Notamacropus eugenii: one gene and its partners. The protein of the gene in region 1 interacts with the protein of each later gene in a pairwise test. Links are inferred from orthologs where the notes say so. Each region holds a gene or a part of one and is shown in the gene's direction. Other genes may lie near its edges.

Region 1 (8,204 bases):
TGTAAGCGTGTGTGTGTGTGTGTGTGTAAGCAAAATCTTTGTTCTTTTACTGTTGAGGGGAGTTGGTAGAATCTTACAATACCAATTCACATAGTTTAATTTTAGACTGCAAGTGAAATTATGGTCATAATAGTTGACACACATAGTTCTTTAAAGTTTTCATTAAAAAGTGTTTAAATGTTTATTGATATCTTTTGTTTTTATCATCTTCATTTCTGAATATTTCCTTTTCTTCTCTGCCCAGCCAGTGGCTTTACCTAGAAACAAAAAATAAGAGGAAAAGGATCATTTTCCCCAAAACTAATTGACATATCAGCTGCTAGCAGTGTATACTCCTCCACTTCCATAAAGAAGGGAGATATATTTTCTCATTTCTTCATGCTTGCTCATTACAATTACAGAGTATTCAGTTTCTTTGTTGTTGTTGATTCCATCTACATTGTTGTAATCCAATGTTTCTCGAAGTATGTGAATTTTGTTGTGAATTTGTTGTTGTAAATTTTGCTAGGTGTGCCCCAGAATTATTGATGTTATGATATTACAGATAGTGGATAAAGAAAATAAATTATCTTCTTTAACATAAATTTTACTTATCACACACAGGAATATTCACAAAAGCAAAAAAAACACCTCATCTATTACACAAGTGTACTAATCTCAAAACATGTCAGATTTTGAACTCACAAAGAGCTCGGCAAACATGGGGTGTTCTTGAAGAGAAACTATCTGTGTACAGGTCTCCCACCCTTCCTGTAGCACTGCCACCACGCAATTCTGTGTGTTCTGAGATTCCTCCTGGTCAAACAATCCTGCCCACCTCTACCCCCCCTCCTTGCTGGCCAAGAAAAACAACTTTGCCATGAGCACTGGGGCAAGGGAAAGGAGGATGAGCATTCATTGTGCATCTGCTATGTGCCAGGCACTATGCTGTGATCTTCACAAATATGTCATTTGATCCTTGCAACAACCCTTTGAGTTAGGTGGTATTATAATACCCATTTTATAGTTGAGGAAGCCAAGGCAGACAGAAGTTAAGTGACCTGCCCAGGGTCACATAGCTAGTTAAGTGCCTGAGGTAGGATCTGAACTCAGGTCTTCTGACAGTACACTTTAATTTTCTCTAAATTGCTTCCTTATCTAGGCCAGTAGCACTACCAATGAAAAGCAGTTGCTACATATTCACGATCTTTTTTTAAGGGAAAAAAAGTTAAGAAATAAAATTTACTGATATTTTAAAATTGAAAAGTTACAAAAGTTAAATTTTATTTGGAAATCTGTGGGATATAAGTTACATTGGGATAATAATGGTTGTGCTAAAAACCTGCACCTATCTATGATATATAATTATTTTTACTATTATTTAAAATAATATCTTATTACTATCTTTTGTTTTTTAAAAATTTTGGATGTATTCTACCATACAAGTACAAAATACACCTCTCTTATAACAAGGGGAAATAGTTGAGGCCAAAAAAAAAAACTAAACCCCAAAGGCCAAATACAAAAACTCAAACCCAGTACAGGGACTACCTCCAACAATGTATGCAAATTTTCTGTTCTTCCTTTAAAGTACTCCTGCAGAGGGAGGTATGTTTCACTATCTGTTCTCTGGGACTATTATTGACTTTTTAGTTACTCAAAGTTTGGCTTCCTTTTAGAAGCACTATTATTATTAAAGAAGTTATGCATCTATAAAGAAAGTCTTTGAAGATAAATACTCTCCAGGGAGGAAAGGATTCACCTCAGATAGGGAATGACTGGTTCCTTAGTCCCATTATCTCTTCCTCTTTTCTGTATTCTCTTTATGGGGCATATTGAACCAGAAAAGGCATTTTAGTGGTTCTTAGATAATAGGAGCCACTAGATATTTGAACCTTAAAGGTAATAATGAAGGTTGCTGAAGCAAACACCAACCAACACATAAAGCTTATACAGAAATATTATCCAGAAAGCAGACGGAACTCTTCCTCCTCTTAGTTTCTGTACTTTCCTTTTCCATGCCTAAGCTCATCCATTACCTAAGAATGAAGAGAAAATAAAAACATTTAGATGTACAAATGTTACCTTAATGTGACCCAGGGGACTGAGAGACCAAGGGGCATTACAGTGAAATGGAAAATTTAAGTCACAACGCTATTTGGAGATAGATGTGTGTACATGGGAAATATGTAAAGTAATTCATTACATTTTTACTCGTTAAAGTATTATTTCATTGAATGACATCAAAAACAAGCCTAGAAGTTCTCAGGCCTGAAGCTATCCTTGACCCTTTTTTCTTCCTCAGTTCACATAGCCAGTCAGTTGCTTTTCAGTCATATCTGACTCTTTGTGACCCCCATTTGGGGTTTTCTTTTTTTGTTGTTTGTTTGTTTATTAATTTTTAGTTTTCAACATTCATTTCCACATGATTTTGAGTTCCAAATTTTCTCTCAATCTCTTCCCTCCCCCCACCTCAAATGCTATGCATTCTGATTACCCCTTCCCCCAGTCTGCCCTCCCTTTTATCATCCCCCTTCCTGTCGACTTTCCAGCTGGTCTTGGTCTGGAGATTTGTTTTTCTCTGTCATTTTGTGGGTTCCAAAGCTCTAGAATTTGTTTAAAGTCATTTTTTTTAAAACAGGTATTTGGAGGGCTTTGTAGGAATAGTTCAAGCAAGTCCCTGCTTTTACTCCGCCATCTTGGCTTCATCCCTCCATCTGGGGTTTTCTTGGCAAAGATACTGGAGTAGTTTGCCATTTCCTTTTCCAGCTCATTTGACAGATAAGGAAACTGAGGCAAACAAGTCTAAGTGACTTGTCACACAGCTAATAAGTGTCTGAGCCCAGATTTGACCGCAGGAAGATGAGTCTTCCTGAATCCATGCCTGGTGCCACTGTACCACCTAGTTGCCCCAATCAGTTAAATCTTATTTCATAAATCCATCTATTTCTGTCTACTCATACAATCTGTACCCATATTACCTCTTAGACTAGTAAAAGTAGTCTCTAATTATTCTTCCTGCCTCATTCCACCCCACCCCCATCTCTTCTACAATCCAACCTCTACATACAGCTGCCATATTGATATTCATAGAACAGATTAGATCATATTTTCCTGCCTCCCTCTAGTTAATAAAGTCTTCATCTTTAGCCTGGCATTTAAAATCCTCCACAATCTGACTCCCACCTTTTTTCCATCTTATTTCATATTTCATATTACTCCCCTTAAGTATTTTCTGTTCTGGTGAAATTGGCCTTCTATACCAGAGGTGGGAAACCAGTGGCCTTGAGGCCAGATTCTGTTTTCAAAGGTCCGCACTCGAGGACCTAGAGGGCCACATGTGGCTTTGAGGCCACAGGTTCCCTACTCCTGCTACACATAACATTCTATCTCCTAACTGAGCTCTTGCATAACTTATAATAGCTGACATTTTCATAGTAAATGGCATCTATCCTCTCATTTGACCCTCATAACAACCTTGCGTGAGAGGTTCTGTTTACTATCCACATTTTACAAATGAGAAAACTAGAGCTAAGAGGGGTTAAGTGGATTGCTCAGGGTCCGAAATGGTGCCTATCTGAGGAGGGATTTAAACCCTTGGGGTCCACCACTACCTTCAAGGCCACGTGGCCTGGCCTCCCTTTCACCTCCACCTTGTACAGTCCCTACCTGCCTCCCTGGTGCCCTCTCCTAAATGAGGTCTCTCCCCTTGGCAAACTCCTGGAGGGCAAGAATGCTGCCTCCCTATGCATGTCCAACCTGGCATGGTGCCGGGCACGTGGTGGGCACGTAACCTCTCAGTCCCAGGGCACGTTCCCTGCTGCTGTCAGAATGAAGATCCTGCGGGTTTGGTTGCCTTGGTGAGAATTCAGATGATGAACGTGTGATGATGAAAACAGAATTTGGTGTGAAAGGATTTTCTAGTTCACAGAGAAAAGCAGTTTTCTTATTGGCGAAGTGACCAACCCTGATCCTCTCTGCTGACGGAGCGCTCGGGCCTGGTGAGTGTCTGGGCCGGCACCAGGCCTGCGGCACGTGCGGGGCAGCCCGTCCAGTCCTCGGTGACACTCCCGGGAGATAAGCCGGACTCTGCCCGGGGCCGTTCGCCAGACCGCTGGTAATCCTTGTTTCCTTTTCCAGATCTTTACAGTGATCATACCCCTCTCCGCCTACCTGTGCTGGACGCTGCTGCTGCGCTGCCAGGGCCACACCTTCTCCACTCACCTGCGGGGCAGATACCTCAAGGCCGTGCCCGGCCACGCGCTCGCGGGGCTCTTCTACCTCTGCCACCTGGGCTGCTGCGTCCTGCTCTGGAAGGCCTACGGCACCACGGCGCTCGTCTTCTCCCCCACGTACGGCTGGCTGGCGCTGCTGGCCCCCATCCTCGTTCGTCTGGCCTGGACCCTGAGCCCCAGGGAGCTCAGAGCCTTCGCCGTGGAGCTGCGAAGCCACCAGGGCCCCGACAGGCAGTGACCCAAAGGCCGCCGCGAGCGGCCGAGCGTGGGCCTGCCCGGCCGCGGCCCTCCGGAGGCCGACCGGGCGGCGGGTCCCGCTGCGGCTGGGGCGGCCGGCGGGCTGGTTCCCTCAGAGCGAGTCTCCAAACGTGGCCCCGATTAATGCTGTGCTTGCTGATTCTGCTGCTTACCCCATGGAAGCAAAGCCATGAACTGAACTGTGGAATGGAAATGCCGCACCGGGAGGGCGCCTTCCGGGGGAGGCCGGGAGCGGGATCGGGGGTGCGGGGCTCGGACCCGAGGCCCTTCCGGCCGCGTCGGGCCCACCCCGGCGCCCGCCCCACGTGGCTTGTAGATGGTTTAATTGAACTTCCGGTTTTCTAGGCTCTCCGCCTCCACTGGAGGGACTGTTTAAAACTAATCAAATAAATGAATAAGCTGTTTGCGGTCCAGAGCTCTATCTCGGTCGAGGGGCGGAGACAAGGGGGAGGGAGAACACCCATTGGTCACCGGGCACCTCAGACACGCCCACCGTCCGGTAGCGGGAGGCGGAGCCGGCTCCTCAGTCTGTTGCCGGAAGCGGGCAGAGAGCGCCGGAAGTTGAGGTCTAGGGCTTCCGTTCCGGAAGTTGCAGGCGGTTTACGGGAGCGCCGACTGAGCGGCTGCTGGTGCTGTGAAGCTCGGCGCGATGGATCTCGGGGCGGCGGGACCGAGCCCGGAGGAGCCCGTGGCGCAGCTGCGGAGGCTCATCGGGGTGCTGCGCTCCTTACTGCCGCGGGTGCGGGGTGAGGGCCTGGGCTGCGGCGGGAGGGGCCCGGGGCGGGGGCCGGGGCCGGGGCCGGAGTCCGGGCCCCTTCTTTCCCTTCTCTCACGAGCCGCCCCGTCCCTCCGCAGACGGCGAGGCCCGGAAGACCGCGGAGGCGTTCGATGCGCACAGATTTTGGGACCAGCTCGGTGAGTGAGGCCCGCCTCTGGCGTTTGGGAGGGTCCGCAGCTCCCTCCTGGGCGCCGGGACACCGCGGCCCGGGAGACGGGAGGGCAACCGGAGCCGGGGGCGGCGGCCCGGGAGGGTGGGGATATGGGCCGCGGCCCAGCCCGGACCCGTGCCCCTTCTCGGCGCCCGCCGCCGCCTCCCCCATCGAGCCTTTCCTCCCCCAGGCCAGAGGGCCTTGGCCGTGTCCCAGGAAGCCACGAAGCTGAGCCTGGCCTTCGCGAGACCGCCCCTGCCTTCCCCCGAGGTGGGTTTGCCCCGGGCCCGTGGGCCGCCCCTTTTCTCTTCCCCTGCTTTTGTCTAGAACCAAAGGCAGCTGAGCCCCCAGGTTTCTACCGAGCCAGGTACCCCAGGTGGGGTAAGGTTATCCGCAAGCTTCCCCTGCTGTTCGTTTCCATGAAAGGAAGTCTGTGCATAGACTGTAGTCTATAAGTATGTATGTATGCATATACATATACACACGTACACATGGACACACACATCAAGATTCGATATATCTGTTTTTTTCCACTTTCACCTCACCTGCAGTGATGAACTTGTCCAAGTCTGCCCCTTTCATGCCAGCAGTAAGTTGAAATGATGGATAGGAAAGTGCCTGAGTTCCCTGGATAAAAAGCAGACCATAAATACAGGATAATGATAGTGGGGTTTTTCCCCCCAAAAATTTCCTCTTTCTAAAATTTTTATAGCGTACTTGGAAAATCCTAGAGACATCATGAATTAACAGTGTAACATCATTTTATGTAGATATCTATATAGCAAATATGGATATTCATTTCAGTGTTTTTCTTCACTCCAGGGTGAAAAGTAAAAGTAGGATTTAGTTTCCAGTCGATTTTAATGCTACGTCTCCATATAGTTTACAGTGTTATGTGTGCGTGCCTGTTCTCTAATCATAATTTGTTTGGATGTATAAGCTTCTAGAAGTCTGGAACGTTTTTAACTTAAATCCCTTTATTTATAGGAACTTAACAAAATAGACTCGAAAATTGTGTTCTGAAATCACAACGTGTTAAGCATATGGGGAAGAGGAGAAAGAAATGTGTTTTAGTCTGATATTTTTTTATTGCTTAATATGAACTGAGTGCTAAAGTGAAAGAATTATAGCACTGAATTAATTTTGTGCGTATAGAATTAAGAGCAGGAGATCACTGAAAGACTCACTGTAGGAAAATAGACGTGAGGAGTATTAGATCTCTTCTAGTAACCCTCTGGTTTAAGTTGGGATTCCCCAAAAGTAGGCTGTCCAAAATTTTGGTGTGTGTGATTCAGAGTAGGTTCTCAGCATCCTGAAACAGTGTTAACTCTTTCTCTTTCATACAATAGATATTTTGTTGACTGGGGTGTATGGGTGTTCAGTATCCAAACCCTGGATAGTATTGAGTAGGTGATCAGTAAATGCTTGATAGATAATGATGAAGTTCTCTAGGGCAGTTGCTTTTCATCATGTCACTCTTAATTTCCTCATTTTGGAATGGATCTGTGTTTTTTGTAGGACTGCAGGAAACTCTGTGAAAGTATCCAGAATGCTGTGTTGGCAGAGGTTTCTACATACTACTGGCTTCCCAAAGATCAAGGTAACCTGCTTTGCACACGTAGATACTTAAGTATTCAAGATATAATTTTTGAATGAGTGAGTGAAAGCTCTAGCAGGATTCTTGTGCCGGATCTCTTTTGGGCAGAACACTATTACCTTTCTAGTCAGAAAACTACAAATTAATGGGATTGATGAGCAGTAGGAAGGACAAGGCAGGTCATTTGTGAAGTGTAGGTACTGCCTGCTACCCTGCAGCGTATAGACTATCTGCTCAAAGAAAACGATTTCTCCCTGAAAGACCTCTAGGATGCTTAAAATTTGGCTTTGGTTGCAGGCATCACATTACGAAAAATGGTTCGAGATACCATTGTGGATGTAGTGGAGGGGATGGCCCAGCTTGCAGAGGTGATCGTCAGAGCTCGACCTCAATGGTAATGACCTAGTTCTAGTTGTTACTTTGTGGGACTCATAGTGCCTGGGAAGGAAGGAAAACCCCTGTGAATTTTCTTTTGGGCATCAGGATGGGTCAGTCAGGAAGGATACTTTTTAGGAGATAGGGATTTGAGTTGTTGATATCCTCATTGTTTTTGCTCTTTAGCATATCACACGAGTATCTAATATCAACTGGCAGTATCTGGGAAACATGTGACCAGGTGTCTCACCTCCCAAAAGGTGAGTGAGGTAGTGGGAGGTGTGGTGATGATTGTATTCAGCTATATGAGAGGGAATGGGTGCTTTTCACATCTCACTTCCAGTTTTGTAGCATTCATAATGTAATCCAGATTTAACAAGTAAGAGACTTTTAAAAAATTAGCTGTCACTGCTGAAAGTTAGAAAAAGGAGATTTGATGTTACTGTCTTCTCAATTATTATTCCTTTCTCAATGCCCCAAATTACCCTCTCCCTTCTGTGCAAATTCCATTAGGGAATTTTAATATTTGTTGAATATTTGGGGTACATGTACCTAGTTTTACTCATAGTGTTAGGAACACTGCTGAAATAGTCATTAGATAGAGCCAGGTGTTTCTGATGGGACACTCTTGGAATAAGTGATTTCCAAATGGACCCTGATTTAAGCATTTTAGTTCTTCTTGGGACTTTATTTTTATACTGAAAAGGGAGGGTATCAGTGGAAAACGTTTTACGTTCAAACTCCATAAAACCTTTTGTTAAATACTTCTCTGTACAAAGCCCTCTGCTCAGTGGGGGTGGAAGCAAGATATAAAGATTACATAAGACAGGG
Region 2 (8,683 bases), on another chromosome or scaffold:
CCAGGTGGCGAGGCTGGAGCCGGCAGCCCATGCCCACCAGCCCAAACCCCTTCCAAGGCAGCCGTTAACCTCAATAAGGGGTAAGGAGCAAACCCATGGATAATTCTCCTGTTTCTACTTTGATTCCCAAGTTAAATGTCAGTTTAAACTGAGTTTGCTCAGTCCATGGCCAAGAACATCAATCGATCAATTGATCTCTTTTTGAACTCTCCCTGAGAAGGGCCCCGTGCTGGATGCCTGACAGGACACAGAGGCATCTAGGACTGAAGTCCTGGCTTCAAGGAGCCTAGAAAGTCCACAAGAATGGCCTTAAAGGAAGAGTCCTGACTAACAGGAAGGCCTCAAAGCCTATGCCACCCTTCCCAGCTCAGAGTCCTACTTTCACATGCATGTCAGACAATCTCAGAGATGGAGGGAAATGCAGGTCTTCCAGTGTAACCTGAGCCTCTACCTGCATTCTCCTATAATGGAGACCCCGGTATCTCCAAGGCAGGCTCCTCTATTGGGGATGGATCAAACTGCTACAGAAAATTCTCCCTCCACAGAAAGCACAAATGCAGCTTTATGGGCTCATGAGTCAGAGGACTTGGGTGTGAATCCTGCCTAACAATTACTACCCATGTCACCTTGGCCAAGTCTTTGGGATGAACCACCTCCGTAAATGGAGCAACTGGCCCCAGAGGTTCCCTGAAGTCTGACCCTCATCCGACCCTTGATTTGACAGAGGTCTAAAGGGCCCCAAAAGTCACAGGAGCAGTTCAAAACCCCACAGAGAACCCTCCAGTGCTCTACCTCCCACACACTGTTGCATCATTTTATCAAGTCAAAATCTGCCTCTCTATCTCTTTTACTCTTCCTTCTGCCCTCTGAGCCCAGAGAAGCTGGCCCCTCCTCCCTATCGGTTCTTCAGATACCAGAGGACAGGCATCACATACCTCCCCCTACGCCAAGTTTTCCTTGCCCCTGTTCCTTCAACCAGACCGTCCTGCACCTGCTGAAGAAGCACTAGGATGTCAGATTCTTCCTAAAACGTAGCCTCAGCACAAAACCAACCCTGTAGATGGGACCAGGCCTGGGCAGAGGCTGCTCATCTGCTCCCCATCTGCTCCCCTGGGCTGACTGCTACGCCTCCCTCGATAGATCCTCAAATCCTCTGGGCTCTTCTGGCAGCCACATCATCACACTGTTAATGCTCATGAAATTACTAGCATTCCTGCCCCCCGATATTTTCAAGTGATGTGGTCTAGTCACACCCTTCTTGTCTGAACGTCCTCAGCTGACAATTTTGAACCCACACGGGGGGGTTAAAACTAATTTCTCTCCATCTGATCTTGTTAGACTCAGCCACATGTCTGTCGTCCCTCCCAGAACCACGTCACCTACACATCTGACAATCACACCTTCATCCAAACGGTTGACAGAAAGGCCAAACAGAACGTGCCCAAGAACAATGCCCAGGCACTTCCGTAACACCCAGAAAAGACAGTTCTTTTCTGTCTGAGGCTGTCAAAGCATTCAACATCAATAACTGATGATTTTGTCAGAGGCAATGACACAAAAAAACAGGCTTGGCATCTACTCTGCTGCTGCTGCCGCCGATGGGAAGCGTCCATCTGACAGGCAGCTGAAACCTTCCCTCCATGTTGTTTCCTCCACAAAGATGTGAACTCCTGGAGGGCACGGGGGACTATTCTGTGTCTCTGGTGCTTAGCAGTGATTTGTGCAAAGGAAGAGCTTAGGAAATGCCTCACTCACTGATTCGTTCATTCATTCCTACCACTTAGGTTCTGACAAAGACAGACTTCCCTTTGTTCCTCATTCTCATCTCGCCCCTGCCTTAGGAAGTACCTTCCTTCCAGGCCCCAATGAAACCTTCCAGGGGAAAGCCATCTCTTCCTCAACCAATTTATCCTCCTGGTTTTTCCTTGCATCTCTACTATGCACTAATATCATTTATACCAGTTCTCTGTGTACTTGTTTCACTTAGACCATAGGCTTTTTTCATTCATTAACCCTTCACTCAATAACCATTTGTTAAATGCCTAGTACATGGCCTCAAGGCTGCAGGCCTAGCAGGTGGAAGCACTATGCTGGGCACTAGAGACATGAAGGCACATGTCCCTGAATCAAAGACTCAGAGCTGGGAGGGGCCTTTCAGGTCACCTTGTCCAGTCTCATTTAACATATGAGGAAGCTGAGACCAGAGAAATGAAATGACTTACTTCAAGTCAAAGTGAGCCCTGGGCCTTTGACTTCTAGGTGACTTTGGCAGTTGGTGGTGCAGTGGACAGAACATAGGGCTGAGTACAACCTTAGACACTTACTAGCTGTGTGACCCTGGGCAAGTCACTTTCCTATCTGCCTCAGTTTTCTCATCTGTCAAATGAACTGGAGAAGGAAATGACAAACCGCTCCAGTACCTTTGCTAAGAAAACCCCAAATGGAGTCATGAAGAGTCAGACATGACTGAAACAACTAAACAACAACAAAACTTTGGACTTCAACTCTGTGTCAATTTCCTAAGATCTCCTTAGTGGAGAAAGTCCTCTGACAAAGGCAGATTGCAACCCATTAACAGCTCAGTTGTCATCGAGAGGACAGCATAGCTAGAAGCAACAGGGCTGGACAAGGGCCACGAGGGATGCATTTGAAGCCAAGGCTTCCTGACTCTCAAACTCATTTTAGCTCCTGTACTCTTAATGTCAGTTGAACTGAGATGTCAATGGGGTGGGAGTGGGGTGGGGGATGAGTAGGGAAAGGGGGATTTCTACTTACGCAATCTGCAGGGCCCGGGTGCCCAGGACCCGGGCTCGCTCGTACTTGGTCATGTAAGGGGTGGTGATCCTTTTCTGGTTTGCCTGCTGCCGTTCCCCAGAGGGAAGGATCTCCACATTCTCCTGGCCCTCCTAGGAAAAGAGGGAGAGGAGAGTGGGAAATTTCCTTGTGGGTGTAAAAGGTCAAAGGCTCAGACCTAGAGGCTCCTGGCAACTTCAACCAGAGATCATGGGGAAGTAAGACTTCGAATACCCCCAACAGAGGGCTCAGTCCATTTTCCAAGTGGAATAAACCACAGAGGTGACAAGTTTGGAGGAAGAAAAGCTTAAAAAGATTTTGGCTTCCAGACCAAAATTTTACTGAATGGCCACAAGACTGGTCAAATGGAAATGTACTTCTTGTCGTGAAACCCCCGGCCAGCTGCCACATCCCGAAACCAGGGAAGAGGCTGGTCTTCCAAAGTAACTCTGTCCTAGATCTGTCCCTTCCACGACGCTTCACCTGCAAGAAGGGACTGAGAGCCCCAGCAGCCAAGGACAAAGGATGGCATGAAAAGCCTGCAGCTGGCTTGTCTGCACACAGGGCTGCTGGTTTACAGTGGGGGGGGGGAGGCGGGGGGGGGGGGGGGGGGGCTGTTCCACTCTATGCTCAGTGACCTTTGTGGTTCCAGGGTTCCAGGTGAGAAGAAGAGCCATGAACTAGAACGATACTATGCTCTGCACCCAGGTGATTGGCACCCAGGTGACTGGCACCCAGCCCTGGCCTCAGTTGTGCTGTGGCAGTAAGAGCCATGGGAGAAGTACAGACCTCCTCAGGATTCTCCAAGTCATCTAGACCCTCATCTTCCTCCACGTCATCAAAGTCATCACCATCGTAACTGTACAGGAAGAAAGCACCAGTGAACCTGGGTGCTCGGAGAGGGCCAAATACCCTCCCCCATCTCCCCCAATTCTAGCCTGGATCTGCTGGGGCAGTGGAAAAGAAGGCTGCATTTGGAGGTGGAGAAGCTCCCACTGTAAAAAGAGGGAGCTGGATGAAGTGACCGCCCCCTCCCCCCCCCCCCCCCCCCCCCGGGCCTTATCTGTCCCCATGTGGCTTCAGGATCCTCAAGGTGCTAGACTCATACCCCAAGTGCACATCACTATCCTCCAGTACCTGCCAGGGTGTGTGCGCCAGGCACCTAAGAAGACAGAGACAGAGACCAGACGGTCCTTGCCCTCATTCTACAAGAGGAGACAAAAGAGGCCTCACACCAGAAGCCACGGAGTCCAACATCGGAGGGGCACAGGCCAGTGCTAATGCGGGTGGGGGGGCGGGGGGAGACCTGCCCAAGATCATCTAGGGGTCAGGATCCGGGACAAGACGCGAAGCCAGGCTTTTCTGACCCTAGGCCATAATGCCTCTGTGATTGCACCTCTTTTCATCCTACCTTCCAATGCTGAGCCCCCATTTCTCAGTCTCCCTTCCATCCCCCTCCTTCCATCCCCCTCCCCTCCCCCCATCCTCGGGCCGCTCTATCTGCCCCTTCTCCGCACTCACTTGTCCTCGTTGTCAGACATGCCTGCGGAGCCTTGGGCTCGGGCCCAGTGGCCGCCTTGGCCAGGAAGAGCTGTCTCCCAGCAGAACCTTCTTCACGGAACCCGACGAGCCCAAGCCACCCGGTCTGGCCTCCTGCACTGCTCGGGCTCGCGCCACTGAGACCAAACTCACGACTTCCAGCACCCACTTCCGGACCGGCCCTACCAGAATTCCCTGCGCCTGCGCGGTGACCTTAGCATATGAGCAAGTTCCGGTAATAGGCCAAGGGGCGGAACCTCGAGCTCTTGGGGCGAAGAAGGGCAGAGAGAGGGCAGGGGGTGGAGCCTGACGCCAAAAAGGGGCGTGGGCCTGCCGTTGTCATGGCAAAGAGGAGCCGGATAGCCCCGAGCAGGGCGCGCGGCGGTTCCCCCGGTAGCCAGAGGCGGAGACGGAAGCAGAGTGGGGAGCTCTTGGGAAGAGGAGACCGAGACCGATCCGGTGCAGTGACATAGCCGAACCAGGAGGGGAGGGAGAGCCAGAACAGAGGACCTGGAGGCGGGGCCTAGAGGAGCCGGAGGCGGATACGGAAGCGCTGGGGGAAGGGGCGGGGCTTGAGGGGAGATGGCTAGGCCATGCATAGGAGATGCCAGGGGCGGGGCCCAGAATGTTCGTGAAGGGGCGGAGCCTGAAGCGAGGGAGGGGAGCCTAGAGCCTGGGCGGTTGCCATGGCAGCGTAGGCGGGACCAGGGGCCCGGGAAGCTCGGACCGGGCTGAGGGCGGGGCCTTCGCAGCCGTTGCCATGGTAGCCGGAGGCGGCCGCTGCTCGGAGCCCCATGGACCCGTTGGGGAGAGCGGAGCGGTCCGGAGCCCGTCCCTGGGGGAGAGGGGAAGCCCAGGGCGGGTGGCCGCGGGGGGCTTGTCACGTGGCACCTCCCCGACAAGGGCGGCCTGTCGCGATCGTCCCAGCACCACAGGGGGCGAGTTCCGCCCTTTGTGTCGCCGAGGGCCGGCCGCAGCGATCGCCTCTCCTCGTCGCCGCCGGTGCAGCCTGAGCCCCCCGCTCGGGCGTCCCCGGAGGGCAGGAGATGATTCCCATCAGGCCTGGCCTGGGTAGAGCTGAGGCTGGACTGCTCGGGGTCAGAAGAAGCCCAGAGTTGCAAGGACCTCCTGACCACCGAGGCCACCCCCCGGCCCCCCTCTAGGAATCCCCCATCCCTGTGTCCTGCTCAGGACGATTTCTGCCCTAGGAAGTAGCGAGCTCCCTGTCCCTGGAGGTCTTCAAGAAGTCCACGTTTGGGGGAGACTTCTTCCCATTCTAGACCAATGACACCATGGTCTCCTCCCACCCGATCCTCCAGCCTTCTATTTCCAGCGAGAGGGAACCCTTCTCCTTTTTGAATAGCTCTAATTGTTAGACGTCAAGCCTAAATCTGCACCCATGACTCCTGTTTGTCAGACTGCCCTCCGAGGCTGAGCAGAACCACACATCCGTCCGTAGAATGACCCTGCTAATGGCATTGCCCTCTCCCAAGACCTGCTTCCACCCATCACCAGACCTGAAATCTCTTCACTGCTCAATGGCTCATTTTAAACAAGTCATCCTTCTCCCCAAGCCTGTTTCTTAGAAGAGATCCCCTTCAGCTCTCAACATTCTGGGAAGGCTAGTCCTAAAAACCTTTCTTTTCCACCTGTAGGGTTTTGCCATGGCAGCAAAGGGGAAATCAGGAGCTGTGGCCAAAGGTACTGGCTTCTGGCACTCACGGCAATCCAGCTACACCCCAGAAACCTGTCAGCTGCTGAAAGGTCAGTGGAGGGACAGCCCTGAAGGAAGGGCTGATCAGGACAGGGCCCCAGGAGGGCTAGAAGCCCAGTGGCTCTTATATCACCTGCTTGTTTTGCAGTGATGATGGAGGAGTCCAAACTCACCAGCTTCCAGCAGCGACAGCTCATGGATTCGATGAAAAGTAATTTGAAGCCTTGATCCTCCTCCTGCCCTTTCAACACTCTCCTCACGCCTTAACTAGAATGGCACAGTAATGGCTGTATAGCTGATTAGGCACTTCTCCCATAGTGTCTAGAGATTCCTTTGGGATGTAATGTGTCATCTGTGTATGGCTCATTTTCCATATCTATAAACTAGTCTTGGTCTTTTGGGGAGGATGGTGCAGATTCCATCTTCCTTCCATGAAAATCACTGGCCTAGTTGAACTGAGACATTTGGGAGAGCAATCTTGAGGGTGCTCACTTCTGTTGGCCTTAACTTTTTCAGTAAAATGGGAGATGGGTCCTCTGTTGAATGTTGCAGGAGGGTTAACTTGAAAAGGGAGAGAAGATGGGACTGGACCTCAGAAGTCATCCAACTCTGGAATTCTGTGGGACACATTCCATTCCAAGACAGTTCTCCACAATCTGGCCTGAACCTGACTGTCCAAACTTTTTTCCCACTGCCCCCCTCTGGGGAATTCTCCTCCACAGCCAAATAGGCTCCCCTTACATTCCATGGACATTCCTCTTCACCTCCCAAGTCTTTGTACCACTTCCCTTATCCAATTTAAGACTATCCATATCCCACCTTTTCAGTAAAATTTTTCCAGCCTAGGCTGTAGCCTTGGTCTCTCTTCTTCCTCTTTACCAATTGGTACCAATTACCTGGACCATTCCTAAGGCCCTAGCCTTACAGGGACTGGACCTGTAATTTCTTTGATAGACTTCTCAGGTGAGGACACTCCCTCTACTTCCTCTGCAACCTTAGGGAGCTGTTGAAATCACAGAGAGGGTCACCCAGTCAGGATGTCAGTTGTTACTATCCCAAACTACCCCACTAGGCCTTGCTTCCTGTCCTGTGCCACTACCAGGATTACAGATGTAGAGTTGGGACCTCTGGGAGCATCCATTCCAGCCCCAGTAAGAAGCCAGGATCTGAGTTGGGGTCCTCTGTCTCCAAAGTTGCTACTTCTGACATCCTTCCTTACCAGACTTTGATGGCCAGGCTCCTTCATGGTCTTGTCATGATAGATGTCTGTCTTTGGTATCTGTGAATCCCCCCCTTCCCTCTGCTCAAGCTCAGTGACACTGGGTCCCTGATTCTTCCAGCCCACAGTTATGGAGGGCATGCTCAAAGAAGCTCCCAACCTAGGTGCTAGAAGCAGGATATAAAGACGTCTACATAGCTCTGCCCTCTGGGAGCTTCCAAACTAGTAGAGGGACACAGTTAAACAGGATGGACATCAGTTTAAATGCATTAAGGAGTTGCATAGTTTAATGAACTCTACAAGGCAGAAGGGTGTTACTTCCAGGGACTCCCTGCAAAAGCCCATGACTTGGGTCTTGGAGCTGCCTGCTAGCTGGAGGCTCTGGGGAATAGCAAAGGCCCCGGGGCAGGGGGCATTCTTGCATATCTTTCCATCTGGATGCTCTCCCTTCCTAAACCCTTAGTAGAGATCATTCCTTGGGCTCCCTGGCCCTTCCTCCACATCCTCCTCCTGCCCCCAGCCTCATCTCCTCTGCTGACCTGGACAGGACTTTACACTGGTGCATATCTGCCACTGGAAGTCAATCATCTCTGTTGAACAGATAGGGAAACTGAGGCTCAGGGGAGTAGGCTAGGAAGTGGCTGGCCATAGGCAGGACTCCTGGTACCTGGGTCTTGGACTTCTTTCTGTTCTGGTCTCTCCCCAGGAGGCGAAGCGCTGCCCTCTTACTGCAACCCAGTATCTAGCCAGAAGCCAATGCCCAAACGAATCAACAGCCTGTGTCTGCCTCCCATCTTGGCCCCAAGGCCCCATCTCCGCCCTGCTGAAGTCTGCCAGGCCACTGAGGCCTACACCCGAGACCAGTTCAAGCCAAGACCTTGTCGTAAGTCTTGAAGCCCTGGGCTTCAGAATAAGGAGATGAGGCACTGCCAACCTCTGCCCTAGCCATGGGCACAATTGAGGACAGATACTGAGACAGGGCAATTTCCTTGAGTTTGCAAGATTCTCCTTAAAATGAACCAGAGAACTGGGCAAGATCTCCCATTCCAACATGTGCAGCAAATGCCTTTTGGAATGAGTGACGCAGGAGGGGAAAGGGGAAAACAAAATCCACAAAACTTATGTGTCCCAAGGAGATTTATTGGGATACAGTGGTAAGATGAGCAGGGCCTGAAGGTGAGGCCAGAGCAACTCTCCTCCCTCCTCACCTCACCTCAGCAAGGCAGAGGCTGTCAGTCATCCTTCCTTCCTCCCTCCCTGAGCCTTGTTCTGAGAGTGGGTCTCCCATGTGAAGCTCTGCTCCTGTCTACATCACCAAAGCATCACCTGGCTCTTTGGCACCACTCACTGCCCTATCTGTGCCTCCCCCCTTCTTCCAGAGAGAAAGATGCCCCAAGGGAGCCTGGGTACGGATGCCC
Region 3 (8,635 bases), on another chromosome or scaffold:
TTGGATGGCAATATATTGAATTAGCATGTTAGCACATATAAATTAGACAGGAAAGGGTCCAGAACTAGATAGGATAATGAGGTGGTTCACAATCAGGAAACTCTACAGATCTTAAACTTTCTTTTTCATTTAACAAGAAAACAACTTTCTCTTCCATATTCTCTTCTCATTGGTGGTGGTAGTGGTGGTGGTGGTAGGGGCTTATAACAAAGATGCGTACTCAAACAAAACAAATTGTCACATTGGCCATATTCCAAAAAATATATGCCCCATTCTGCACCCTAAGTCTATCGTCTCTGTGACAGGAAGTAGGTGATATGTTTCATTGTGAGTTCACGAGGCCTTTGGAATCTTGGTTAAACATCGTATTAATCAGAGTTCCTAAATCTTTGAAAGTTGTTTGCTTTTACAACTGAGTTGTTATTGTAGAAAATTTCCCCTGGTTCAATTCCCTTAACTCTGCCTCAGTTCATACAAGTCTTTTCAGCTTTTTCTGAAACTTACCCCTTCATTATTTCTTTTAATGCAATAGTGTTCCATCACATTCATATACCACAACTTGTTTGTCTACTCCCCAACTGATGGACATTCCTCTCAGTTTCTAATTCTTAGCTGCTATAATTATTTATGTACACATTAATCCTTTCCTTCTTTCTTTCATCTTTTTAGGGGTATAGGCCTACCGATATGTACCCTAGTAGGGTAAGCAACTGCTTAATGACTTTGTACATAATTCCAGATTGCTTTCCAGAATGGCTAGACAAATTCACAGTTCCACCAACAGTGCATTAGTGTAGTACTAGCAATGATGCCAAGCTAATTCCTGTTGCCAAGACACATTTTTAATGCCAGTATTCTTTGGCTTTTACTATATAGTTGTGAATAATAAACACCACAATCTCAAATGAATCAAAATGCAAGCTACACACAAGGGTGTGTGAAAATACATGGTGGGTGTAAGTAGTCTCCAGCATATTCACTAATATTGATATATGTGCAAAGAGTGTCATAAAAGTAATGTTGTTCTGGTGAATGTTTAATGATAGGCTCTTTGCAGGGTGGGGAATGTCCACATGTATGGACCACACGCTTTTAAGTTTTATCTGCATTATTAACATTTTCACTAATATTACTTTAAGTCACAATCAACAAAACAATAAATCAATCTCTCATTTGTACCATTTACCAATTTCTAAGGTATAAAATACTCACACCGAAAATTTAACAATTGCCTCTTTCAGTCTCCTTTCCTGACTCCTCCTCCATATTGTGCTCTTAATTGCAGATGTCCCTGAAGGATTGTCCTAGACTCTTTATCTTTTCTCTCAGTTGGTGACTGTCTCAGTTCCCATGATTTTAATTATCATCACTATGAAGACGATTCCCAGGTCCTTATATCTAGCCCTAGAATTTCCAACTAATGTCCTTAAAAGCATCTAAAATTCAACTGGTCCAAAATTGCACCTACCTTTCTTCCAAACTTCCCCATGACAGCCAAGAATATGATCAAAGTTTCACTAATTCAGGTTCACAACCTTGGCTATTATCCTCAACTACTCACTCTCATTCCTTCTACGTATACAAGCAGTTACCAGATCATGAGGTTTATTTTTGGATAACATGCATCAGATTATTTTCATTTCTCTCTACTCACATAGCCACTGCTCTAATCCAGGCCTTTATCACCTCACACTGAGACTATTGTAATAGTCTCCTAATTTGTCCCCTGCCTCAAGCATCACCATGCTCTCTCCCCACTTCCCCATTTCAGTTTTTCCTCTACCTGCTTGCCAAAGTTATTTTCCTGATGTGTAGACCTGATCATTTGACGCCTCCTCCCCCAACCAATACGTTACAACGGCTCCCTCTTATAAGAATGTATGGATGAGTGGCAATCTGAACTCATGGCAGGGAGGAAAATATATGAATAAGATCACGAATACATTTGCAATACCAATATCTGTGATTACGTGGTGCTTTTTTCCTCTCCACCTCCCCACACCCTCCAAAGCCTCTATAAAGTTCACTTTGAGATTCTTGATATAGATTATCAATCTATTAGAATGGTCAGATTCAGATCACTTGATCCTTTAGAGTAAGCAAATTCCCATGATGTCACATGTCAAAGGAGATTTTGGAATTTATTATGGTTCATATGAAATTAGAATCAAGGTTAAGGTTGGTTTCCATAGATGATTGTTCCTTTATTATTTTCCTATGAATCACTGGAAAAATGCCTTCAGCTTCTCACTGGTTAGCCCAAGTCCGTAAAGTGAACGCTAAAGAAAAAAAGGTACTTTCAGACTATGAGGATAAAGAGAAGGCAGTATCTTGGGATTATAGGTTTAGTTAGGAATCCTGGCAGCTGAATCAAGTGTTATGGCCATAGCACAGATACAATATTTAGATCCTGCTTGACTGCAAAGATTTTTTTTTCTTTTTTCTGGACCATTATTTAATTGATTTACAGAACTCCAAAGGGAGGAAACTTCCTCTGTCAATTCAGATCAGTAACTGTTCTACAACTTACGTTATTAGAAAGTTGTATTTCATGGAGTCATTGAAAGGTTAAGTGACAGTCAGATACATCTGAATGAGGACTTGAATCCAAGTTATTCTCATCCCAGGACTGGCTCTTTCTGCTATCCCACACTGAAATAAGAAGAGTACTTTTTATTCTCTTGGTACAGAAAAATGAATTTCTGAAATTCTTTCTTTAATTTCTTTTTCTTTCCATCTAACATCCATGATTGTCTGAAAACACTTTTAAGAAGCCAACACAATTCCAAGTAAAGAATTTCAATTAGAAGGTCTTTTTTAATGACTAAGAGTCTTAATTGTAAAATTCAGTTAGTATTCTCCATTTCAGAGAAATGCGCTGCTTTCTGGGGCAAATGTGATTTCTAAGTGTTTAGCCTAACTAGCTTATGTGTTACACTGGGGGACCCTCTATGGGTCTGTGGCCCAACCACCACCAACCTCTGTGGAAGCCTTTGCTGAGAGTCAGCAACTTTTCTTTGATTTACTATAAAAGAATAACTGTTTATTTCAGTCTTTGGTTTATTGTTTCATTCTTTCAACAATTACAGAATTGACTGCCTACTGCCATGTTTGCAAAGCACTATCCTGTGTCCTGTGAGGTGGTACAAAGAAGCATTCATAGAACCTTAGAGTTGGAAGAGGCCTCTGAGGGCCTTGACTCCCATTCATACCCTAATCATGAATCCTGTCTACAAAATTCCTGACAAGTTAGTAAAATGAGGAGTTGAATAAGATGGCCCCTTTAGAACTATTATCCTAGTTATTCTGTACCTGGAGACCCCCAGAAACAAGTAGCTCACTTTCTTTCCCCCTCCTCTCCTTCCACTCAAGCAGCCATGTAGGAGATGAAGTTTGTGCTCTCAAGAGCATTATAATACAGTAGGAGAGATGGCACGTTGTCAAAAACCATAAACTAGGTAATAGACCATTGTTTTTCACAGTTTAACAGCTTCATAGGAAGAAACTTTTGTTGAGAGAACAGAAATGAGAGAACAGTAAAACATTACTTTTATGGGCTGAATTATTTTTAGTACTCCAATGTAGGTAAAAGGAACTATTTCTCCAAGAGAAGATTGAGGTTGTGTAAAATATGAATAAATCCAACTTTTTAATACCTAAAGTTTAGTGACTGAATGGTGTAACAGGAGAGAGAGCACTGAACATGAAGTCAAGTCAACTGGGCTTGAATCCCACGAGAGGAAGAGAGTCTGTTGCCCAATTGCCTCTATGGGAGGGTACTGCTGGCTGGCCCATTTGGTGCCAGGCAACCCGGGCAACAGAATGGGAACAGGTGCTTCCTAGTCCCTTCTTCCTCCTGTACTCAATAGCTGTGTGACTATGGGCAAGTCTCCAGGTTTCTGTTTGCTCATCTGTAAATGATCTCAAAAATACTCTCCAGTCCTGGTCTACTGTGATTCTCAGTCCAAGGTGAGGCAGGATATGTTATTAGAATTTGGGTATTATAAACTGGGAAAGGAGGTCGAAGACCTGGTATAGTCAGGTAAGTGTTCATAAAAGACTTAGAATTCTTCGAGGAGAATATAATTGTGTTGCTGATGATTTAACTAAAATCCAGGAAGTTTACAGGATTTGCACTCAGGTCTCTTGACTGGGCTTTTTCCATTACAGCATACTATTTCTAAGTTTTGAGTTTACCTTCCAAGCACACCTTATACTCTCTTACCCTCGCACTTTTGTTCATACTGTTCTTTTCACATGATGTTCACACTCTCTGTAAACCCTTTGCAGACCTTAAAGGGTTATATAAATTCTAGTCATTACTATTATTATCCCCACTTATTGAAAACATAATCATCCTCAAACCCTTGACCCACTGCTCCCACCTGCTATTCATGGTAAATCACCCAGACTCCTATTTGAAACTGAAGCCATCTGATGTGAGCTCCCATAACCCCCTTTATCCACCTTGAAACTTAGTAGTAGCCTACCCATTTTTTTCCTTCACTCCTGATTTAATAGCTTGTGGAGAATATAAATGAAGCAAAGTTCTGTAGGAAGCTGCAAGGTATGTGATCAAATGCGCTGGTTTTCCTGAGAATGAAAATCTTTGTGCTAGCTAGACCTTGTCTTAGGCCTGTTTCTTTGTCCTATATGGGAACATAGCTGGTATATTATACTTACCGCCCACTCTGCCTGCCTAGAAAATGTGAGTTATGTCAACAACTCCCTCCTTCCCTAATGAATAATCCTTATAGTACTTCCTAACCTTTCTCTGCCACAGCATATTTTGGTGAGGGGTAGAGTTATCATAATGTAAAAAGACTCGGATTTCTCTTTCTTCCTTTGTACCAAATTCTTGAATGTGGGGAGTTGGCATCTGGTGTCCTTAGGATGCCTCCAAAGAGAATCTCACTTATCCTCTCCCTCTCTAATATTTGCATGCCCTGACCTTGAACTGGACTTGTGGAATAGTATGGTTTTTCTAAACTATTAAGGGTCAGATAATAAAATTTAAATGTGGGCCCAACCAAAGTCTTTTTGTTTTTTCTTTTCATTTCCTTTTTTTAAAGAACTTAGGTGGCTTTTTTATTTGAAAAAAATTAAAGCAAACCCATTTCTGGAGAAAAATGAGATTGTGGGTGGGCTTCTCTTTTGTGCCAAATGAATGAATGAGCAATGCTATGAAGTGGAGGCCTTTCATCACTTGGCCCTGACGTTGCCTTTCCCCATTGGATGCTGGTAGTAGTCACATGTCCAGAGCATCTTTGAAAAGATGCCATTGAAGCTGCTGCAGTTCATGCCATCCTGCCTCTCACAGGGGACTGTGACTGCCTTTCTTTGGCTAAGGTCACCATTTAGTGCCCAGCAGGTCCAACATCATGTGTAACAGATTTGTGGGCACCTGGAAACTGGTCTCCAGTGAAAACTTTGAGGATTACATGAAAGCTCTAGGTGAGGAAAAATTTAAAAAAAACAAAAAAACTTCTGCTTGAGGAGAAAATCATCCACCTGCTTATTCTCTGAGAGAAGTTGGATGTGTGTGTGTGTGTGTGTGTGTGTGTGTGTGTGTGTGTGTGCGGGGGGGAGTTGGGCTGATGATGAAGTGGAAAATATAAATTATTGTAATAATGGTTTCTTGATGTGGTTCTTTTTTCTTTTATTTCAAAATTCTAAAAATGAAGAGGAGACTTTTAGAAGCTTTGTCAATGTACTTATCTTCTATTCTCATTTATCACTTGGATTTCTAGGGACCAAGATACTCCAGAAGAGAAAAAATGGAACAGAATATAGAATGTCCCAAATTGAAGTCTGATATTTATCTAGGCATAGCATGTTCACTGAATTAGATTTGATTTTTGTCAACTCCTTCTTATTCAGTAATGAAACTGTTTGCACAGGGGAATTTTGCTTGATTCTTGCCAGTCCCTAACAGAGACTACTTCTCTTTGTCCCCACCACTGAATTCCACATCATTGTCTGAGCAAACTGAGGCTTCCTTTGGTCCGCTAATTCCAGAGTGGGAGAAGAAAGAGGTAAGAGGAAGTAAGGACATAGGAGATGAGGGTATAGGAGAAGACAATGCTACAGGAGCAGTGAATCGGTCTTCATTGACTCTAATCAATGACAGACTATCTGACCTGTGTAGATTTCTCACTTGGGATAAAACAATAAGTAAAAATCAGGTTTTTATTCATTATGCATTGGCTAACACACTTCCTCTAGGAAGGTTTTTTTTAACTTCTAATCTCAAATCCAGTTGCTTCATAGGATCATAAATTTACAGCTGAAAGGGACTCTAAGGATCATTTAGTCTCTCTCTGCTTCATAGATGAAAATCTATTGGTCACTGTTCACTTCAGTATAAATTTACAAATACTGAAAGATATTTTTTTGCTTTACTATGTAAAGCTTTATTATGTAAGTCTTGAGGGTACCCAATCTACTGGTCTGGGGAAAATGTTGATACAGGTAGATTATGAGCAATGATGACAAGGTCATGAATGGTAGCTATAGGAGTCTCAGGGTGCTTAAAAACATTATTCAACATAGAGGTCAGCTGTTAACTCCAGTGAGTATAGTGTAGCTTGAATTCAAAAATGGCCATCTTGACACAGCATGGGCCACCTCTGAAACACTTCTTCATAAACTTTTCTGTGGCCATGAATCTTCAATTTTATAATAGAAATCAATGTGAAATCAAGATTTACTTTACTAAATCTTATAGTGAACTTTTGTAAGACATAGCTCTAATATCCCTACTAACTATCCCAGTAACTTTATAAAGGACCAAAGTATCCTACTCTGACCCTGATTCCCTCATGTGTTGTCTTCAGGGGCTACCTTTGCTTTTATCTTTGAATCACTTAGCAAGATGTTTGTCAAGAAGTAAGTGTGCAATTAATACTTTTTTTTTACCTTTCCTATTTTTCTTCCTTCCTTCCTTCCTTCCCTCCTGTTTTCCTTCCTTCCTTCATTTTTAGAAAACAAGAGATATTAAACAAATATATGAAATAATCAAAAAAAAAGGTTCTAACTCTGGTTTTCTTGCCTTTCTGACTGTATCTTCTTTCAGTCTTCTTCCTCTTCTTATCCCTTAACTGTATGATTCTCCCCTAATTCAGTCCTTGGTCTTCTATTCTATTATTATAATCTCTCTCTTGAAAAAAAAATTCATCAGTTCTAACAGCTTCTAAGATTAGCTGTGTGTTCTGCTCTGGTTACTGAGTGGCCCTGAGTCTCAATTTCCTCACCAGTGAAATGAAAGGGTTAGAAAAGAAGATGTCTCAAATCCTCTCTGGCTCTAACATCTGGGTCCCTAACCTATATTAAGCCATCTCTTCCTCCAGACAAATAGTTCTTGTCTCTGCCCCTTCTGAATGTCATTCTGGTTTTTCCTACCTTTGTTGTTCATTAAGATCATTTTGTAATCTTAGATTTTTATACCCTAGTAATGAGTTTTTTAAAATTTCTTGATTGTCCTTTCATGTAACCCTAGATATCATGAAACATACTAATTAATATCAGTAAAAATAATAATAAATTATATTTATATGGTTCTTTAAGGTTTACAAAGCACTTGTATACATTATTGCACTTGATCTTTGTAATAATCATAGTAGGTGGGTGATATATGTATTATTATCCTCATTTTAAACATAAAAGAACTGAGGTTCAGAGCATCTCACGTCCATGTTCATGGATTTAAACTCACATCTGCCTGATATCCAATCTAGCACTCCACTTCTCTTCCATATGACATTCTTTTGAATTTGGTTAACTTTATCCATCTCCATGTACCTCAGTGCTTTTGATTCCTATATTTTTTATTAGAGTCAGTGCTTTGTACACAGTAGACACTAAATGGTTGCTGAATCAGTGAAATAGTTAATGATATAATCCAAGCAATAGCGTTTAGCACTGGTTTCTTTACCTGGGTTTATCACACATTTTTTCTCTCTTTGGGCATTTCTAATTCCCACAGAGGGTATAAAGCTGTCTCAGTGCAGTGAAGAACAGTAATTAACGTGAACAGAGCCTAGAATTGTTTAAAAGTTAAAATGCTACTTATTTATTCTAGCAAATTGTATTTATTTTTATCTGTAAGGGTTCTGAAGCCAAGTGGTCTTCTCTTCGTATACAAGGTTTCTGGAAGCTCAATTCAATCCTGAAAATTGGATTTCACTGAAGCGACAGAAAAAAACCCACAAAAATAGTTTCCCTTCAGGAGATAAAATATTGACAGGAAGATTTCTTCCTTGATAATGTTATGATTTATGTCCAATCTATACCTGTGACACCATGGAAACATTCACAAAAGAGTAGAGCATGTGATTAAAAGCCTTCTCTTTTGAAAGAGCAAGTATTCTTTCTGACAGTATGATTCTAACCCTGTCTGATTTTTAGGGGTGGGATTAGCCACCAGAAAATTGGGAAATTTGGCCAAACCCACTGTGATCATCAGCATGAAGGGTGATATTATAACCATCCGGACTGAGAGTGCCTTTAAAAATACAGAAATCTCTTTTAAGCTGGGCCATGAATTCGAAGAAACCACAGCTGATAACAGGAAAACAAAGGTGAGAGGTTAACTTTGTTCTACCGTGTCCCTAATCTACTGAAGGAGAGGTAGCAA
Region 4 (6,463 bases), on another chromosome or scaffold:
GCTGTCCACCAGCCTACTGCTACCTTATGACCCCCACCCCCTTTTCATTTCTTCCCAGATTGCCATTATTCCTAGAAAAGACATGTCAACTGACTGCCCTCTGGATACGCTCAGCTTCCTGGGTGGCCCACAGGTACTTCTTTCCCTACCAGTCCCATATTTCTATTGTTTTCCCACCCATTAGAATCTAAACTCTCTGAGGGCAGAGACTATTTTACTTTGTATTTGTTTCTCTAGAGCTTAGCATAATACCTGGCACTTTGTAAGCATTTAATAAATGCTTTTTCATTCACTCAGTCAGATAATGAGAGAGTACATTCCAGGTATGGGAAACAGCCTGTGCAAAGACATGGAGGCAGGAGATGAAATACCAAATTCAAGTAACAGCAAATAAGTCAGTTTGGTTAGAATGCAGAATATGCAAAGGGGAGCAATGTACAACACACCTGGGAAGGCAGCTGAAGCCAGATTGTGAAGGGCATTAAATGCCAGGCTGAGGAATTTGTAGTTTATTCTTGAGGCAATAAGGAGCCACAGAAGGTTTCTGAGCAGGGGAGTGGCACGGTCAAATTTGTGCTTTAGAAAGATTTAGAAAGAAATATGGGATGGGTGGATTAGAAAGGGGAGAGACTAGAACCTGGAGGTCTATTTAAGAGATTGTTGTAGTAGACCAGGTATATGAGGACCTAAATTCAATTCAGTTCAATTCAACAAGGATTTATTAAGGCTTACTGAGGGGCAGCTAGGGGGCACAGTGGATAGAGTGCCAGCCCTGGAATTAAGAAGATTCATCTTCATAAATTCAAACTGGTCTCAGATATACTCCAGCTGTGTGACCCTGGACAAGTCACTTAACCCTATTTGCCTCGGTTTCCTCATCTGTAAAATGAGTTGAAGAAGGAAATGGTCAATCACTCCAGTATCTCTGCCAAGAAAACTCCAAATGGGATCACAGAGTCAGACAGAACTGAAAAAACGACTGAAAAATGTGCTGAACCAAGGTGGTGGCTCATGTAAGTGGAGAGAAGGGAATGAACAGAAAAGGTGTTGAGGTACAACCATCTTCCCATTTCAGACCCCAATTTCTTACTTTGTAAAATGAGAAAGTTTATCTGAATCATCTTCAAGGTCTCTTCCAGTTCTGTCCTTCTTTAGGTCTTCCCAGTGGTTAGAACACTGCACCTGGAATCAGTCAGGAAGACCTGAACGCAAATCTGTGTGCCCCTGGCTAAGTCAATGAAAGGCTCTGTGCCTCAGTTTCTCCATCTATAAAATGGGGATAAAAGTTGTTGTGAGGATAAAATGAGACAATACTTACAAAGAGCTCTGCAAACCTTAAACTGCTATACAAATGCCAGCTGTTATTATTAATATATTTATTACTGAAGATTCTACATATCTCCCAGAAATATATTTTCCTATTATGATCAGGCACATGGGGGAAGTGGGTATAATGGTGAAGGAGGGAACATTTGTCTTCAGTACTGGCTTCCCTTGCTCCCCCTCCCTCTACAGGTGCCCAAATCCCTCAGATACAAACACCGGCTCCTTCCAGGTTGCACCAGAACGATCCCCCACTAAGAAGCCAATGCTGGCCTTGTCCTGAGGGGTTCTACAACGCTACGGGGCACTTTCACCAAAGACCGGAGCTCTTTTCTGCCCCTCAGCTTCTTCATGTGATTCCCTCCCCCTTCTTGCCATGAGAAGCTCCAGCCATAGACAGTCACACAGATAACTTTCCTCTTCTTTGCTCAACTCCAGTTATCCCCAATACCTGGAATATTCACATCCTCCCCTCCCCCAGCTCCCACACCCCTGGTGAATTTCAGCTCATCCTTTCAAGACCAACATCCCACTTCCTACAGGAAACCTCCCCAATGACCATTACTAATAATGACCTTCCCCCTCACCAGACTTCACAAAATACTTTGCACCCTTTTTTATGTTCTTATCATGTATTATTTTGGGCTCTCCTTATACCTATTTGTACACAACATTTACCTTAATAATAATGCTGGATCTTCGTATGTAATGCTTTAAATTTTAGACATAGTAACTCATTTGGTTCTTACAACAATCCTGTAAGTGCTTACTTGGTAGAAGTATTATTAGTACCTTTTTCCTGATAAGGAAGCTGAGACTCAGATTTCTCTAGGGTCACCTGATTGAACAGTTGAACCCAGGTCTCTCCATGCTCCATGTCCTTCCATCACACCATATACTGCTTCTGACTCCCTAATTACTAAACTACTGATCAAAAAGTGAATCCTTTCTAATTAATTCAACTAACTTTGTTATTACTAGATCCTACACTATGTAATGTGTTTACTAAGCTTAGGTTATCTTTTCCCTTCTCTCCCTCCCCACCCAGCACTGCTACCAATGCCAAGCCTTCAATAAGTATTTGTTGACTTAAATAGAACTTTCCCTACTCTGCTAACTTTTGGTCATTTTTCTCCTTTTTGTTTTTATGGATTGCATCATTGGGTGGAGAGAGAAACTGCTGGGGAATGTGCTCCGGGAGGAGAAGCGAAGTGGGAGGCAGGATAGTGAGACAAGAGATAAGGGGGTGTGTGTGTGTGTGTGTGTGTGTGTGTGTGTGTGTGTGTGTGTGTGTGTGTGTGTGTGTGTGTGTGTGTGTATGTGTGTGTGTGTGTGTGTGTGTGTGTGTATATGTGTGTGTGTGTGTGTGTGTGTGTGTGTGTGCTGGACAACATGATGCGTTTTAGAAATACCTTTAGAAACACTGTATTCCTTATTGGATTTGTGGTCTCATCAGTGTAGGTACTCCTTCCAAGGAGGCAGATTGTGTGCCTCAGTTTCTTCATCTAAAAAATGAAGAGGAGGGAGAAGAACAGAGATAAGACATCATGAAATTTATAATCTAGTAGTAAGGGGTTCGAGGCAGCTGGGTGGCTCAGTGCGTTGCATCTAGAGTCAGAAAGACCCGAGTTCAATTGTAACCTTAGACAACTTACTAGCTGTGTGACGCTGGGCAAGACACTTAACCTCTGTCTGCCTTAATCCACTGGAGAAGGAAAGGGACAACCATTCCAATAACCTTGCCAAGAATCAGCTTGCTATGGTCCCCAAGACCATAAACCACAGTAAACCACAGTTACAAGGTTAGTTCTACTAATTAGAAATGATTCACTCTCTGATTGGTAGCTGAGTTTCCTCTAGGTCAGTGGCTTTCAGTGTCCTCCGTGGTACCTTGAGGGTCCCAGAGACCGTTCCAGGGGGTCCTCAAGGTCAAAATAATTTTCATAATAAAACTTACACGTTTTCATTTCTAATACAGTAAATATCAATAGGGATAGCCCACATAAACAAATATCCTCAATATTTTTTAAGATTATAAAAGGATCTTGAGACCAAAAGTCTGACAAGTGGGCTTTTACCATTTCATAGACGGCAGCGCTCTACTTTCCCGGCACCACCAGCCTAGCCCTCTTCTGACCCCCTCCCACCCAGTATGGGCAACGTGAGCTCCTGGCTAGAGGAAAGGAAGCCAGGGGTTCACACCCTGCCCCTTGATATTCACTAGCCACGTGACCAGGAGGACTTCATTTGGTAGAGGGAAGATTGTAATGCTTGCCTCAGCAGGAGTACAGTGAGATTCGGAGATCATCTAAATCAAGTCCTCTGCAAACATTAAAGTGCCGCATACACACCGCAGTCCATCAGGGAGCACTGATAAAGCGCTTGCCACCGCGCTGGACCCTGGAGGTGCAGGAACAAAATCTGCCAGAGGAGACAAGGACATGGGCGCAGGATAGGGGCAAAATGACTAGTGTTGCGTACAGACACACCCAAACGTTACGGTTATTTCTATACTGTATATGTGTGTTGATTCAGTTGCTTTAGAGTCTGACCCTCGTTGGGGTTTTCGCGGCCAAGATACCCGAGAGGTTTTGTCCTTTCCTTCTCCAGCTCATGGTACAGATGAGGAAATTGGGGCAATCAGGGGGAAGTGATTTGGCCAGGGTCACACAGCTAGTATGTGTTTGCAGCAGGATTTGAACTCAGGACCTCCTGACGCCCCGCCTCCCCTCCCCCCCATCCTCGGAGCCACCTAGCCGCCCGGTATATACGCACATATGTACATTAGGCACGGTATTAAAAACATACACTAAACGGGAGCTGTCTTTGGTCTCTTTGTACCCCCAGGGCTCGGCACGATGCCTGCACACAGTAGGCGTTCAATCAGTGCTCTTTTGACTTGGTTGCTTAAAGTTAAAAAAAAAAAAAACCGAAGGGGACGAAGGGAACCAAAGCCAAGGCCGGGAGATAGCCCCTGGGCCGAGCCAAGCATCTTAAACCTCTCCAAAGGAGCCCAAGTCGCAGGCGCGTTAAGGGACCAGGAAGCAGGCTGTTTGGGTGGAAGCCAAAGGCCTGCCGAGCCTGACTTTCTCTGGCCCAATCAGAGCCGGGGGCGTGTCCCACGCTGCCCGTCGGCCAACGGCCAGGAGGGAGCCAGCCGCGGCCCCGCCTCCTGGCCTGACTCGGAAGTGCTTTAGCTTCTGCCCAGAGCCGGCGGGTGTGCAGTTCTGCGTCTCTGCAGCTCTCGCTCGGTCGCTCTCTCTCTCTCTCTCTCTCGCTCCTACGCAGCACCACCAGCCGCCGCAGCAGCACCAGCCGCCGCCATCATGGTGCGCAAGCTCAAGTTCCACGAGCAGAAGCTCCTGAAGAAGGTGGACTTCCTGAACTGGGAGGCCACCGACCACAACCTGCACGAGCTGCGCGTGCTGCGGCGCTACCGCGTGCAGCGGCGCGAGGATTACGCGCGCTACAACCGGCTGAGCCGCGCCGTGCGCGACATGGCGCGCCGCCTGCGCGACCTGCCCGAGCGAGACCCCTTCCGCGAGCGCGCCACGGCCGCGCTGCTGGGCAAGCTGTACGCCATGGGGCTCGTGCCCACGCAGTCGTCGCTGGAGCTCTGCGATAACGTCACGGCGTCGAGCTTCTGCCGCCGCCGCCTGCCCGTCGTGCTGGTCAAGCTGCGCATGGCGCAGCACCTGCGCGCCGCCGTCGCCTTCGTGGAGCAGGGCCACGTGCGCGTGGGCCCGCACGTGGTCACCGACCCCGCCTGCCTGGTCACGCGCGCCATGGAGGACTTCATCACCTGGGTGGACTCGTCCAAGATCAAGCGGCACGTGCTCAACTACAGCAACGAGCGCGACGACTTCGACCTGGACGCGTAGGCGCGGGTCCGGTCCGGTCCGATCCGAGACGTTGTGCGAGGCCCCTGCGTTTTCAGAAGCGGCGCCTCCCGAAGAGCAGCAGCAGTAGCAGCAGCAGCACTTTTTTCCCCACTTATTTAATAAACGGGCTAAGTTTGCCCTTGTTCTTGAGTGACCCCAGTGCATTCTGTTATTGAGTCCTTTCAATCCAATCGCGTCTCCTCCCCAACCCCACCGGGGTTTCCCTTAGCCAAGATATGGTAGTGGTTTGCCATTCCCTTCTCCTGCTCAGTTTTACAGAGGAGAAAACTGAGGCAAACAAGGTTCAATGACTTGCCCAGGGTCACATGGCTAGCAAGTATCAGGGCCTGAATTGGAACTCAGGTCCTCCTGACTCCAGTCCTGGCACTGACGTGAGTGGGTACCAAGTCTGTTCCCTCAGCGCCAAGTGTGCCTTACTTTTGAACAGCTATGTGAGGGGGAGAGGTTTTAAGGAAGGAGAATAGCTAGCTTTGATAATATTTTAAACGTGTAATTATGTTACTATTTAATTTGGTAGTAGGCTTCATTTAAGTCAGCTCATTGAAACCTTCTGCTTGATCTCTAATGAGAAGAAAGGCCAGATTTCTTGGGGGGAGGTGGTTTTCCCACCTTGGAATCCCAATTTTAAAAAATGGGTCTCAACTGTGGTTTTATTTACACTGGGGAGAGATGGGTTGGACTGAGTAAACAGCTGTGGGAAATTTTGTCAGGATCACACAATGAGCCTGTTTGCTTTGGCCTCAACGCCAACCCACCCTTCCTTGATCCATCCATTTACAAATCTCTTCTGCAGGACAACAAATTTTATCAATGGGGTTCTCTGCAGGACTTCCTGTGGACAGGAAGGGAACAAGAAATACTTGATTTCCTTGAATCACATGCCATCCTACAATAAATAATTAGAGGCAGGCTCGGACTTTGTCAGTTTCTACATACTCATATTGACTTCAGGTTCTTACCCACATTGGTGATTTGCACCTAAAATTTAAAATATTTTAACTTGAGATATTCATCAGTAAAATAAAATGCTAGTCAAAAGCATAGTAAGTGGAGGAAAGAACTCTGAGGAACTTTGGTTCAGAGAACACCTGGGTTTGATTCTTGACTGTAGCATTTAGGAACTGTGATCTTAGAGCTTCTGAACTAATTTAAACTTCTTTTCCTAGGTAGAAAAATGGGATTTGTTCTTTTGAGACGGCTGAGGGCTAGATATTTGTAAGGAGTTCCCAGTGTGGAAA

What was found.
Region 2: the proteins of CCNDBP1 (region 1) and C3H22orf23 interact in binary tests that used the Homo sapiens proteins (3 or more experiments, as listed by UniProt). The two-hybrid records come from large-scale screens. The link is inferred for Notamacropus eugenii from reciprocal best matches to the Homo sapiens genes CCNDBP1 and C22orf23.
Region 3: the proteins of CCNDBP1 (region 1) and myelin P2 protein interact in binary tests that used the Homo sapiens proteins (3 or more experiments, as listed by UniProt). The two-hybrid records come from large-scale screens. The link is inferred for Notamacropus eugenii from reciprocal best matches to the Homo sapiens genes CCNDBP1 and PMP2.
Region 4: the proteins of CCNDBP1 (region 1) and IMP3 interact in binary tests that used the Homo sapiens proteins (3 or more experiments, as listed by UniProt). The two-hybrid records come from large-scale screens. The link is inferred for Notamacropus eugenii from reciprocal best matches to the Homo sapiens genes CCNDBP1 and IMP3.

Annotation. Positions count from the first base shown.
Region 1 is NC_092878.1:29,699,651-29,707,854, forward strand, and holds the start of CCNDBP1 (cyclin-D1-binding protein 1), read left to right. Parts: upstream 1-4,862; coding exon 4,863-5,211; coding exon of another isoform or gene 5,212-5,218; intron 5,219-5,327; coding exon 5,328-5,387; intron 5,388-5,591; coding exon 5,592-5,671; intron 5,672-6,919; coding exon 6,920-7,001; intron 7,002-7,295; coding exon 7,296-7,392; intron 7,393-7,559; coding exon 7,560-7,633; intron 7,634-8,204. Other genes in the region: TMEM62 (transmembrane protein 62), read left to right, coding at 4,120-4,452. UniProt on the Homo sapiens protein: May negatively regulate cell cycle progression. May act at least in part via inhibition of the cyclin-D1/CDK4 complex, thereby preventing phosphorylation of RB1 and blocking E2F-dependent transcription.
Region 2 is NC_092874.1:295,434,897-295,443,579, reverse strand, and holds the start of C3H22orf23 (UPF0193 protein EVG1), read left to right. Parts: upstream 1-5,042; 5' UTR 5,043-5,092; coding exon 5,093-5,152; exon of another isoform or gene 5,153-5,378; coding exon of another isoform or gene 5,379-5,429; intron 5,430-5,987; coding exon 5,988-6,096; intron 6,097-6,194; coding exon 6,195-6,257; intron 6,258-7,971; coding exon 7,972-8,148; intron 8,149-8,683. Other genes in the region: POLR2F (DNA-directed RNA polymerases I, II, and III subunit RPABC2), read right to left, coding at 2,776-2,906, 3,583-3,652, 4,315-4,334.
Region 3 is NC_092875.1:304,999,883-305,008,517, reverse strand, and holds the start of myelin P2 protein, read left to right. Parts: upstream 1-5,283; 5' UTR 5,284-5,381; coding exon 5,382-5,454; intron 5,455-8,406; coding exon 8,407-8,579; intron 8,580-8,635.
Region 4 is NC_092872.1:240,231,776-240,238,238, forward strand, and holds IMP3 (U3 small nucleolar ribonucleoprotein protein IMP3), read left to right. Parts: upstream 1-4,486; 5' UTR 4,487-4,649; coding exon 4,650-5,204; 3' UTR 5,205-5,358; downstream 5,359-6,463. UniProt on the Homo sapiens protein: Component of the 60-80S U3 small nucleolar ribonucleoprotein (U3 snoRNP). Required for the early cleavages during pre-18S ribosomal RNA processing. Part of the small subunit (SSU) processome, first precursor of the small eukaryotic ribosomal subunit.